Linked DNA regions of Oryctolagus cuniculus. The protein of the gene in region 3 purifies or fractionates together with the protein of the main gene of each other region. This does not show direct contact. Links are inferred from orthologs where the notes say so. Each region holds a gene or a part of one and is shown on either strand. Other genes may lie near its edges.

What was found. The genes of interacting proteins can lie anywhere in the genome.
Region 1: the proteins of HDAC11 (region 3) and GCFC2 purify together in Homo sapiens (co-immunoprecipitation; 3 studies listed by BioGRID and IntAct, counting the BioPlex papers as one, with this or other methods). This does not show direct contact. The link is inferred for Oryctolagus cuniculus from reciprocal best matches to the Homo sapiens genes HDAC11 and GCFC2.
Region 2: the proteins of HDAC11 (region 3) and ATG2B purify together in Homo sapiens (co-immunoprecipitation; 3 studies listed by BioGRID and IntAct, counting the BioPlex papers as one, with this or other methods). This does not show direct contact. The link is inferred for Oryctolagus cuniculus from reciprocal best matches to the Homo sapiens genes HDAC11 and ATG2B.

What each region holds. Positions count from the first base shown.
Region 1 is NC_091433.1:127,149,899-127,153,547, reverse strand, and holds part of GCFC2 (intron Large complex component GCFC2), read right to left. Parts: intron 3,005-3,649; coding exon 2,907-3,004; intron 271-2,906; coding exon 158-270; intron 1-157.
Region 2 is NC_091451.1:40,743,717-40,747,365, reverse strand, and holds part of ATG2B (autophagy-related protein 2 homolog B), read left to right. Parts: intron 1-2,720; coding exon 2,721-2,883; intron 2,884-3,649. UniProt on the Homo sapiens protein: Lipid transfer protein required for both autophagosome formation and regulation of lipid droplet morphology and dispersion.
Region 3 is NC_091441.1:108,657,226-108,660,874, forward strand, and holds part of HDAC11 (histone deacetylase 11), read right to left. Parts: intron 3,419-3,649; coding exon 3,318-3,418; intron 1-3,317. UniProt on the Homo sapiens protein: Responsible for the deacetylation of lysine residues on the N-terminal part of the core histones (H2A, H2B, H3 and H4).

The DNA of each region.
Region 1 (3,649 bases), on a different chromosome or scaffold from region 3:
ATATAATACACAGACAAAAAATGCCATCGGTTGTGTTAGTATGGCAACACTGGGGACACTTTTTTCTTGCAAACACATTTATTAATTTAAAATAATATAGTGCTCTCACTGTTAAAATTCTAAGATAAATAGAAATTTCAAAATGAGTACTACTCACCTCGTATTTAGCTGCTTCTTTATAATTTCTAAATTTACCGGTGGAAATGAAATAGAAGTGTCAAACTTCTTAGTTTGAGATGCCCCGCTGTGGGAAAGGTCTATTTCTCTTCTCTAAAAATAATTTGAAAATTTATTTCTTAGAAATCATTTAATTTACCTTACAAATATCAGTAGCACAAAGGAGACAGGTTAATCCAAGATCTCTTACAGTTCAAAAATCCCATGCCTCTGTAATAAATCCCATGCCTCTGTCACAATAAATCTTTTTAAAATGAAAACATTTTTAAAATTTGGAATTTTAAATTCATATGTAAGTGGTAAATTTAAACCTGGTCTTTCAAAAGTTTAGTCCTCAAGGTTTTTTTTTTTGTTTGTTTGTTTGTTTGTTTTTTTTTGACAGGCAGAGTGGACAGTGAGAGAGACAGAGAGAAAGGTCTTCCTTTTCCATTGGTTCACTCCCCAATGGCCGCTGTGGCTGGCGCGCTGCAGCAGGCACACCGTGCTGATCTAAAGCCAGGAGCCAGGTGCTTCTCCTGGTCTCCCATGCAGGTGCAGGACCTGGGCCATCCTCCACTGCATTCCTGGGCCACAGCAGAGAGCTGGACTGGAAGAGGAGCAACCGGGACAGAATCCAGCGCCCCGACTGGGACTAGAACCCGGGGTGCGGGCGCCGCAGGCGAAGGATTAGCCTAGTGAGCCGCGGCGCTGGCCTAGTCCTCAAGGTTTTAAAGTTATCTATTTACAATCTAATGTTTCTTAAAAAAGAAAGTTGTGCAGTTTTTGACGCAGCAACATTCTTTGGTGAGTGTTATTTTTTGTGGTACAAACAGCTGTCTGATTAAATTCACACTTACTTCTATTACAGAAGTAGCAATCGGGGCTGGAGCTGTGACCCAGAAGGTTAAGCCTCTGCCTGCAGTGCTGGCATCCTACTTGGGTACCAGCTCGAGTCTTGGCTGCTCCACTTCTGATCCAGCTCCCTGCTGATGCACCTGGGAAAGCAGCGGAAGATGTCCCAAGTACCTGGGCCCTCGCTCCTATGAGGGAGACCTGGAAGAAACTCCTGGCTCTTGGCTTCAGCCTGGCCTAGCGGCAGCTGGTATAACCATTTGAGGAATGAGTCAGTGGATGGAAGATCTCTCTTGATCTTTCTCTCTCCCTCACCCCACTCCCGGCTCCTCTATTTTTGCCTTTCAAACAAATAAATCTTTAAAAAAAAACGAAGGGAAAAAGAAGAAGCCATTTAACTCCAACTCCATTCTATTCAATGAAAAGTAAATGGAAATTTAAGTATGCTGGAGGTTTCTAGGTAAAGTTCTTACTTTTCTTTAAGCCACTGTTATTTGGGATTTCTGGTACTCGCAGAATAATGCATTTCTCACTGATAACATGGTGCATTTCTCATCTTGTAACATGGTGTATTTCACATTAGTGTCCTCTGGCTAATCACAGCTCATCATCGCCCTGCTTGCAATGTTCTTAAAAGACAGCTGTATTGTGTATATTATGTCCATTTTCCAGAAGATTATAAACACCTTCCATTTCTGGGGACCCTATCATTTTTAACTTTATAAAAACAGACAATTTATACTGTGTGGAGTGAGTGATTAAAGTTTAAGAAAGTGGGCCGGCGCCACAGCTCACTAAGCTATTCCTCCGCCCACAGCGCCCGCACCCCAGGTTCTAGTCCCGGTCTGGGCACCGGATTCTGTTCCGGTTGCTCCTCTTCCAGTCCAGCTCTCTGCTGTGTCCCAGGAGTGCAGTGGAGGATGGCCCAGGTCCTTGGGCCCTGCACCCGCATGGGAGACCAGGAGGAAGCATCTGGCTCCTGGCTTCAGATCGGCGCAGCATGCTGGCCGCAAAGCGCCAGCCATAGCGGCCACTTCGGGGGTAAACCAACGGCAAAAGGAAGACCTTTCTCTCTCTCTCTCTCTCACTGTCTAACTCTGTCAAAAAATAAAAAATAGAAAAAAAATTAAAGTTTAAGCAAGTGTGAGCTTTAAAACAAACAAGAACTATACTTGAGGATAAAAGCCTGAGATTTTGGACTGGCGCTGTGGTGTAGCAGGTGAAGCCGCCTCCTGCAGGGAGCATCCCATATGGGCACCGGTTCAAGTCCTGGCTGCTCTACTTCCAATCCGGTTCTATGCTATAGCCTGGGAAAGCAGTAGAAGATGGTCCAAGTCCCTGGACCCCTGCACCCGCGTGGGAGACCCAAAAGTAGCTCCTGGCTCCTATGGTTCCCAATTGGTGTTAGAAGGTATTCCAGCAAATTCAAAGGAGTGTGGTGAGATGTGACTGGATGGTGATCTCCAAATGATACACCAAAATCTTAACCCTGAATATGTGAATATGGCCTTATTTGGAAAAAGGGTCTTAGTGGTTATAACTAAGTGAAGGATATTGAAATCATCCTGGATTAACTGGGCGGGCCCTAAATCCAATCATAAACGTCCTTATTAAAAATACACAGAGCAGACACAGAGAAGGTTATCATGTGAGGACAAAAGTAGTGAAAAAGACTTATGAAGTTACAAGTCAAGGACCATGTAAAGCAATCAGAAGTTGGAAAAAGCAAGGGAGTATTCTTTTCCAGGGCCTTCAGAGGAAACATAGCCCAGCCAACACACTGATTTTAGATTTCGGGCCTCCACATTGTGGGAGAGAATTGCTTTCAGTTCCAGAGTTTGTGTTAATTTGTTATAGCAGCTACAGAAACATAATTCACCTGGTATACTTTTTATTACCTGTATGGTTTTAATTGCTTTCCTCATTTGTTGCTGTTCCCAAATATCTTGATTTTCACCTTCATGGATTTCTTCCCTTGTGTTTTCAATTCTGCTTGCTAGGGAAAAAAAATAACATATAAACATTCAATATTTTTCATTCTAATCTGCACAGCTAATACTTCTGAGGGGTTTACTATATGCAGGCTTAGTAGCATTTTCCTTATTACTTATTCTTCACAATAATTCTGGGAAGAAGGTATTATTATTGCCTTCATTTTACAAATAAGGAAACTAAGATACTGGGAGATTAAACAACTTGACAAGGACTCTGGTGAGGCTGCAGTAATCAGACTCTGAAACCTGCATCCTTATCACCCCACTACCCCACTCAAAATATCATCGCTACACACATGGAAAAAACTAGCCAATAATGAAATGTTTGGTTTTCTTCATCAAAGATCTCTCAATTCTTACCCAATAATTCAAACACTGAAAATAATTTCTGGGTTATGAGAAACCAGTCTAATTTTGAAAAAATATTATTCGAAGTAACAAAAACCTTAGTAAAACATGTATGTAACAAATGAGAAATGTGAAAATAATCCTTTGAGACTTGAGTATTATTGATAGAGGACATTTTATTTATGGCAGGATAGATTTTAATGCATGACACCTATAGAATCTCTGTAGATGCTTCTATGTAAGAAAAAACATTTTTTCTAAAGGTGTCACAATGATTGTTTCCAACATTTAAAAAGAAT
Region 2 (3,649 bases), on a different chromosome or scaffold from region 3:
TACCTGGGCCATTCTCCACTTCTTTCCCAGGAGCTTTAGCAGGGCGCTAGATTGGAAGTGGAACAGCCGGGACTTAAACTGGTACCCACAGGAGATGCCACTGCTGCAGGCTGTTTCTTAATCTGCTGCACCACAGTGCTGGCCCCAACATGTACATTTTGATCATAAAACATAATAACTTTTATTGGAAATAAATTTCTTAATGATATGGATGGGTTGTTTTCCCCTCATGCATCTATAGATAAATAAACTTAACTGAAATTCATTAGGGCTCAGCACACGTTTGTTTTCAATTTTACAAATAGATGCAAGCTTGAGAAATGCTAACGTCATAAAGGGGAAGATGAGAATGGAAGGATTTTGCAGTAACAAAACCACTGATGTGAATTTCTGTGTTGTGCCGAAATAAAAAACATCTGTGAGATAGGAAAAGACCAGAAAATATGCTGATAACCTTGCCTGGAGGTTTTTGTGCCTTCGGACTGTACAGGGGGTAGGGGGTTGGGAAGGAAAAAAGAAATGGCTTTTTTGACTAAATGGGAGGACAGAAGTTGTACAGATACTAGGGGACAGGAGACCAGACCACTGTGCTTGCTTCTCTCAGTTTAGGAAAAGCTATATTTCCAAACATCTGGATGTTTATGCCTTAGAGCCATCTATATCTTTATACTCCGTGGAAAGTCTTTAGGATACAAATACCTCAGTGTGAAGGAAACTTTTTTTTTTTAAAAGACTTATTTATTTATTTGGAATGCAGAATAACAGAGAGGAAGAGACAGAGACGTCTTTGATCTGCTGGTTCACTCCCCAGATGGCCCTGATGGGTGGATCTGGGCCCAGCTGGAGCCAGCATCCAGGAACTCAACATGCTAGTCTCCCACCTAGGTGTTAGGAGCCCGAGTACTTGGGCCGTGTTCTGATGCCTTCCTCGGGCACATTGGCAGGGAGCTGGATCGGAAGTGGAGCAGCCAGGACTAGAACAGGGTGTCATAAGGTGCTGCTTAACCCACTGCACCATGTCTGTGACCGCAAGAAAGCCTTTTAAAAATAGGATCTCTGATTATAAAACAGGAGCCAATCCAAAATGCACTGTTTGTGTTAGGGAGTAGACGAAGATCTGCAACTTTGCATATAGTACCTTACTTATAAGCTGGCATTTGATAAAAAGTACATGATAAGTGGAAAAAGAAATCAGATAATTGTCCTTCTTTCTGTCGCAGTCTGATTGGGATTTTAGTGCCCTTGACTTCTCGTCTTGACTTTCTGGGACATTGTGCTCTGTCGGACTTGCTTGCATTTCTCTGCTTTTCTCTGTGGTGTACTTTGCAAGCTCCTTTTTCTTAACCCATTTTTTAAAAAAGATATTTATTTATTTATTTGAAAGGCAGAGTTACAGAGAGGCAGACAGAGAGATCGATCTTCCATCCACTGGGTCACTCCCCAGATGGCCGCAACGGCTGGGGCTGGGCCGATCCGAAGCCAGGAGCCAGGAGCTTTCTCCAGGTCTCCTGTGTGGGTGCAGGGGCCCAAGGACTTGGTCCATCTTCTACTGCTTTCCCAGGCCATGGCAGAGAGCTGGATCGGAAGTGGAGCAGCTGGGACTTGATGCTGGCACTGGAGGCCACGGCTCTACCCACTACGCCACAGCACCAGCACCGTTAATACATGTTTTCAATGTTGATGTTTCTTAGGGCTCTGTCTGAGGTCTCCTGCCATTCTGTGTTGCAAGTCCCCAGAGGCTGTCCTGGCCTCTGTTGTGTCAGTTACTCTCTCTGGTTAGTTAATTTGAGAGAGAGAGCAGCAAGCGAGCACATGGGGCGAGAGCACTCCCCCATCCACCTGTTCACTTCCTAAATGCCTTCAGTGACTGAGGCTGGGCTGGGGCTGAAGCCAGAAACCAGGTCACCCACATTAGTAGAAGAAACCCAGTCACCTAAGCCAGCCCTGCTGTCGCCCACGGTCTGCATTAGCAAGAAGCTGGAGTCAGGAGTCCCAGCCTGGCATCCAGCCCAGGTGCTGCAGGGTGGGATGTGGGCCGCCCGAGCACAGGCCAGGACCTGCCCCTGCTCTGTGCCTGTCTGCAGCCATAGCCCAGATGGCTCTTCGGAGCCCTAGATGAAAATACCCAGTTTTGCTTTTTTCCAGTTCATTCTCTACATGGCAGCAGGGGAGCCTCACTAAAAGTTTGAATCTCATGTGGTGCCCTTGCCTGAAGTTCTCCCATTGCTCTCAAGGTGTATGGCTGATTCTTCAATGTCAAGTACAGGCTCTTTGGATCCTACTGTCTCTCAGTCTTCTTAGCCTTATTTCTGGCTCTTCTGCCTATGCTGCATTTCTTTTTCAAATACTCATATCTCAAACGTGTGCTTCTCCGTCCTGGTCACTTTACCTGGTGAACTGCTTTTCAGTTGTGTGGTCTGAGCTTAAAACAACACTTCCTCAGATCCCTGCCTTGAATCTCCAGCTAGGTTCTATCACGAGCTCAAATAGCACAGTGTGTTTCCTCGGTTGTACAGCTCACTACACTTTAATTACCTGTGCCTTTCACGTCACTTCTCCTGTAAGCATAATGTGAACCGGACTCAACCTTGTGGTGGCTCTGCTCTCTTTACCCCTTGTGCCTGACACAGAGCGTGTGCACATTCGATGTCTCCGAATTAGTTAATGCATTTGTGTTCTTGGTGCTGTGATCTCAGAGTGAACTCTGTTGTTCTCTGTAGAGCCTCAATGAAATCTTGGAGTCGGCTGATGCGCCTTTAGAAGTCACAGAAGGATTCATCCAGTCCATCTCTCTGTCGGTGCCATGGGGCTCCTTGCTGCAGGATAACTGTGCCCTGGAAGTGAAGGGCTTAGAGATGGTCTTCCGGCCGAGACCGCGCCTAGGTAGGTGTGTCCCGTGCCTGATTTACTTCATTCTTAATCCTGCGGCGATTGGGAAAGCAGCCCAATTAACATTAAATTCATTTTTGATCTGATGTGTTATCTTGCACTGTACTTGTGAGATTTTTGGTTGGTAAGATATTAGGACTTGGCTCTGTGTAGAATGTCTGTGATCATACACTTAGAGTTTTTTTCTCTATGTTTATTCGTAGGAAGGTTACTCTATAGATGACTTGGTGTGTGCAGGTAGCTGATACCTTGTGTTTTTAAAGATTCAGAGTATTGTGCCAGAAGCAAGGAGGAATGCTTCAGAACTAGGGGGGTAATGTTAAAGGGACAAAGCACTGGGCTTGAAAGGGCTCACGCTGGACAGGTCAGATGGTTTGAATCTAAAAAGGATGACAACAGTCATGAATCATCAACATTCCAGAAAAACCCTCATTCCATACTGATATGGATACATAGGCATCTACGGGGGCAGGGAGAAGGGAATTCTCTTTATAGTAGAATACCTACTTGTAGGGAAAAGACTGGCAGACAGTTATATGGAATTGAAAAAGTTAGGTTACTGGAAACCGGGCACCCTGATAGATAATATGGACATTTTTTTTTTTAAGATTTATTTATTTGAGAGGTGGAATTACAGAGAGAGATAAGGAGAGACAGAGAGAGAGAGAGAGAGAGAGAGATCTGTTATCTACTGGTTCACTCCCCAAATGGCCACAATGACCAGGGCTGGGCCAGGCCAGAGCCAGGAGCTTCATCTGGG
Region 3 (3,649 bases):
TGCGTACAGCCCGCACCTCCATTTGTAGAGCATGGCCTTGGACATGGAAACCTGCAGGTGTGTTCGGCCCTAGTCCAAGCGCTCTGGGGTGCTCACGTCCTCTCTATAAAACGTAAGATCTGCAGTTCCCAGGCACATCCTCCTGCGTACTTTAAGGCCTCTCTAGATGGCCTGCGCTTCCTAACGCACGGCCAGTGCTAGGGAGACAGTAGCTCTATTGTACTGTCCAGGGGAGAGTGACGGGGCGGGGGGAGGGAAGCCTATGCACGCTCAGGACAGCCCCATCATTTCTTACATACTTTCAGCCCACGGTTGGCTGAAATGCCGCAGGGCCCACCCATGCACAGGGCCAACTACGTCACCAAGAAGCGCAAACAGGGGAGCAGACAAATGCACGCTCACATGGACACACCGGCAGGAACAGCACAGACACCCAGAAACCAATTCAGGTGCAAACAATGCAGGAGACTCCATCTGGGGGACCCCGTGCAGCCGTGAGCAGGACTGAGGCGCTGACACCCGCTGGACCCCGGGGATCTTGAAGATTCGACTGCATTTACAGGAAGCGCCCGGAAGAGGCGCATCCCTAGGGACGGGGAGCTGTGTGATGCCTGGGGCGGGGCAGGGGAGGCTGGGGGGTGACCTTGCTGGGAACAGGGCTTCCTTCCAGGGTGCAGGGAGTGTCCCGGCACTGCCCAGAGGCAGCAGCTGCACCAGTCGTGAACAGACTGAACACCACTGAACTGTACACTTTCAAGCAGCCAACGGCTAGTTTTATGTTATGTAAACTGTAACACAATAGAACAGAAGAAAAGGAGAGAGGGGGCTCTTGGAGAAGGAGAGTCAGGGACCCCAGGATCTGATTCCCCCCAGAGACTCTTCGGGGTGGGGTTTCTACCACCCAGGTGCAGAGGGGAAGCCTCCCTCCCTCTATCACTGGAACACCTGGGAAATGTGTCTGCCTCAGGGCCTTTGCACTTGCTGCTCCTGCTGCTTGGAGTATCATTCCCCAGAGCCACGCCGCCCGCTCCCTCACCCCTTCTACATCGCCTCTGATCACCCGCCAGGGCGCCCCTTCCGGACTCGGATTTCAGACTGCCATGTGCCCCACCCCCGCCAGCTCTGTCACCCCCTTTCCCTGCCCCTTCCTCTGCTCGTGGTCCTCAGCCCCTTCGAGCCCCCTGGGCCACTATGCACTGATTATGCCAGTGTGGACAGCAGGAGAGGGGTTTGGTCTGCTGTCCCACCCTGTCCTCATAGCACGTGGGTGGGACTGGGCACAGGGCCCGGGCTGCTGGGCAGAGGGGCAGGACATCAGGTGCGCCCCGGGGCCGGCTGTCTCTGCCCTGAGACAAGAGCCCGGTGCTGAGCGCTCCCTCTCGGCCCCCACACAGCAGGTGTTCAACTCTCTTTCCCTGCCCTGGCAACACCCTGCAAACATGCAGCTAGGGCTTCTTCCATGGCCTGCTAGTCAGGTGTGGAGGCCACACCCGTGCAGGGCCAGGCATGAACCCCAGGACAGGGGTGGGGGTGGGGGTGGGGCAGGGGTGCAGGTCATGCAGCAGCCCCAGGAAACCCACCCTCATCGTCGGTGTGAGGGAGGGGCCGAGAGCTGCAGCCCAGATGCCAGCTGTGTGCGTGGGCGTGACAGGAACAGCACCACGTCACCGGCCTCTGCCCTGGACAAACGCACTGTTCCCACGGCCTGCCAGCCCCTGCCAGGGGTGAGCGCCTGGAGCAGGCGCCCTCACAGCGTCACCCACCGCTGCTTTCCGAACGCGCCACCTCTGCACGGCTACTTGCTGATTCCCCTGTGCCTGGCCGCCCTGGGCGCTCCCTGGAATGCACTGTCCGTCTTCCACAACTCAAATGCAGGCCTGTGGGAGCAGGGAGCCCCCATCGGAGTCTCCCTGTGCGCTCACACACGTTCACAGACTCCTTCATCTTGGTGGCTGAAAAGGCAACGCACAAGTTTCTCCTTTCGCTCTGGCTTCCAGAGAACTCCAAGCCAAATGGGCATCTGGGTCGCCATCCGGATGAACCCTTCCAGCTGACTTATCGACATTCTCCTCCTACCCTGGACCTCCGTTTTCTGCCTGGAGCTTTGCCTGTTAGTACTTTTTAAAAAACTATTGCTATGGATCACATTCACACAGTAGGCTGTTAAGGCCAGGCACGCACCTGCCCTGAACACTTCTCCAGAAAGCACCTCAGGTGGGTGGGGCCCTGGAGCCCCGCCCCCACCCCCAGTCTTCTCTGGGCTCCACTTCCTTCTGTTTCCTCCCTGCCCATCTTCCCCCCACCGCCGGACTCTGGCCGGCCGCTCATCCTGGCTGTGGACTGTGACCACGCATGCCTGGGCCCCAGCAAACCAGCACAGCCCAGCACTGGGCTTCCTGCCAAGGCCTCACACACCTTTCCCTCCTGGGAGCCAGTTCCAGCCTCTGCCTGGTAATCTTTCAGCTCCTCGAAGCTCCGTGTGGAATTCTCACAGCTGAGGCCGGGGCGGGGGTGCGGGGAGGAGGAGGGTAGCCGCCATGACCCGGAACCTGAAGACTCCCCCAGGCCTGACCCACTTCCCCGGTGACCTTGAGCCTTGGCTTCTCTGTGCACGGAGCTCAGGGGCCTGGTGACCCCTGGCTTCCCTTGGGGTTGGGAGTGAGCCTATGGGGGGCCCAGTGAGGAAGCGGACCCACTTCCACTGGGGTGGCCTGGCAGATTCCGACACACCCCCAGCCCAGCCCCCCTCCCACAAACAGGACAAAGTGCCCCCCCTCCCCCCCGAAGTCTGCAGCCACCTCTGGAAAGAGCGCGCAGGCAGCCAGTGGGCCTCGTTCTGTCTGCAGAAGGGACTTGAAAATCTTACAAGGAGCTGCCACATTAAGAAATGCCGCTTAGTAGCCTGGGTCTCTGCCTTCTCTGTGAAAACCCAGGGCTTGGCCACACTGGGCCCATGCGGAGCGGAGCCACGGCTGCCCGCACTCCCCGAGAAGGGGCAAGACTTCTGTGTTTCCCTGCACCCCACCCCAACTTGCTCTGCCTCCTTGTCGGGCCCTGGGCCAAAGCAGCAGAGTTCTGGTGGGATTGGGGACAAGGGGTCTCAGCAGGGGTCTCCGAGGCCTGTCCAGAGCACAGATCAAAACCCACTCGCACAGAAGCCCAAAGCCCCTGTGACATCCCTGCTTTCATCCCCGCTACCGACAGGGAGCTCATCGCCCGTGGGGCACCTCACCCTTCCCTGGAGCTCATCTCTTTAGGATCTCCCTCTCCCTCTCTCTCGGGGCCCTGTGAGGCCAGGCCCTCCCTCCCTCTCGTACCTTCAGCTCGTTGAGATAGCGCCTCGTGTGCACCACCAGCAGGTCCTCCTCCGAGGCCTCCCGCGCCTCCACCAGCATGCTGTCGGTCAGCAGCTTCTCCTCTGTAAGCACAAGGTCCAGCACCTGCTTGCCCGCAGAGCTCAAGGCCAAGGCCACCCCCGCCCTCCCGCCGCCTGCAGTGCAGGAGGAGTGGGCACTGAACACCCTGCACACAGGGATCCTCGCGTTCCCAGTCACTGGCAGTGGCGAGGCGAGCTCAGGTGTGCCGGGACAACTCTCAGAGGCACCGGAAGCACAGTCAATGGCACTGACTGTCCAGGGGAGTCTTCTCG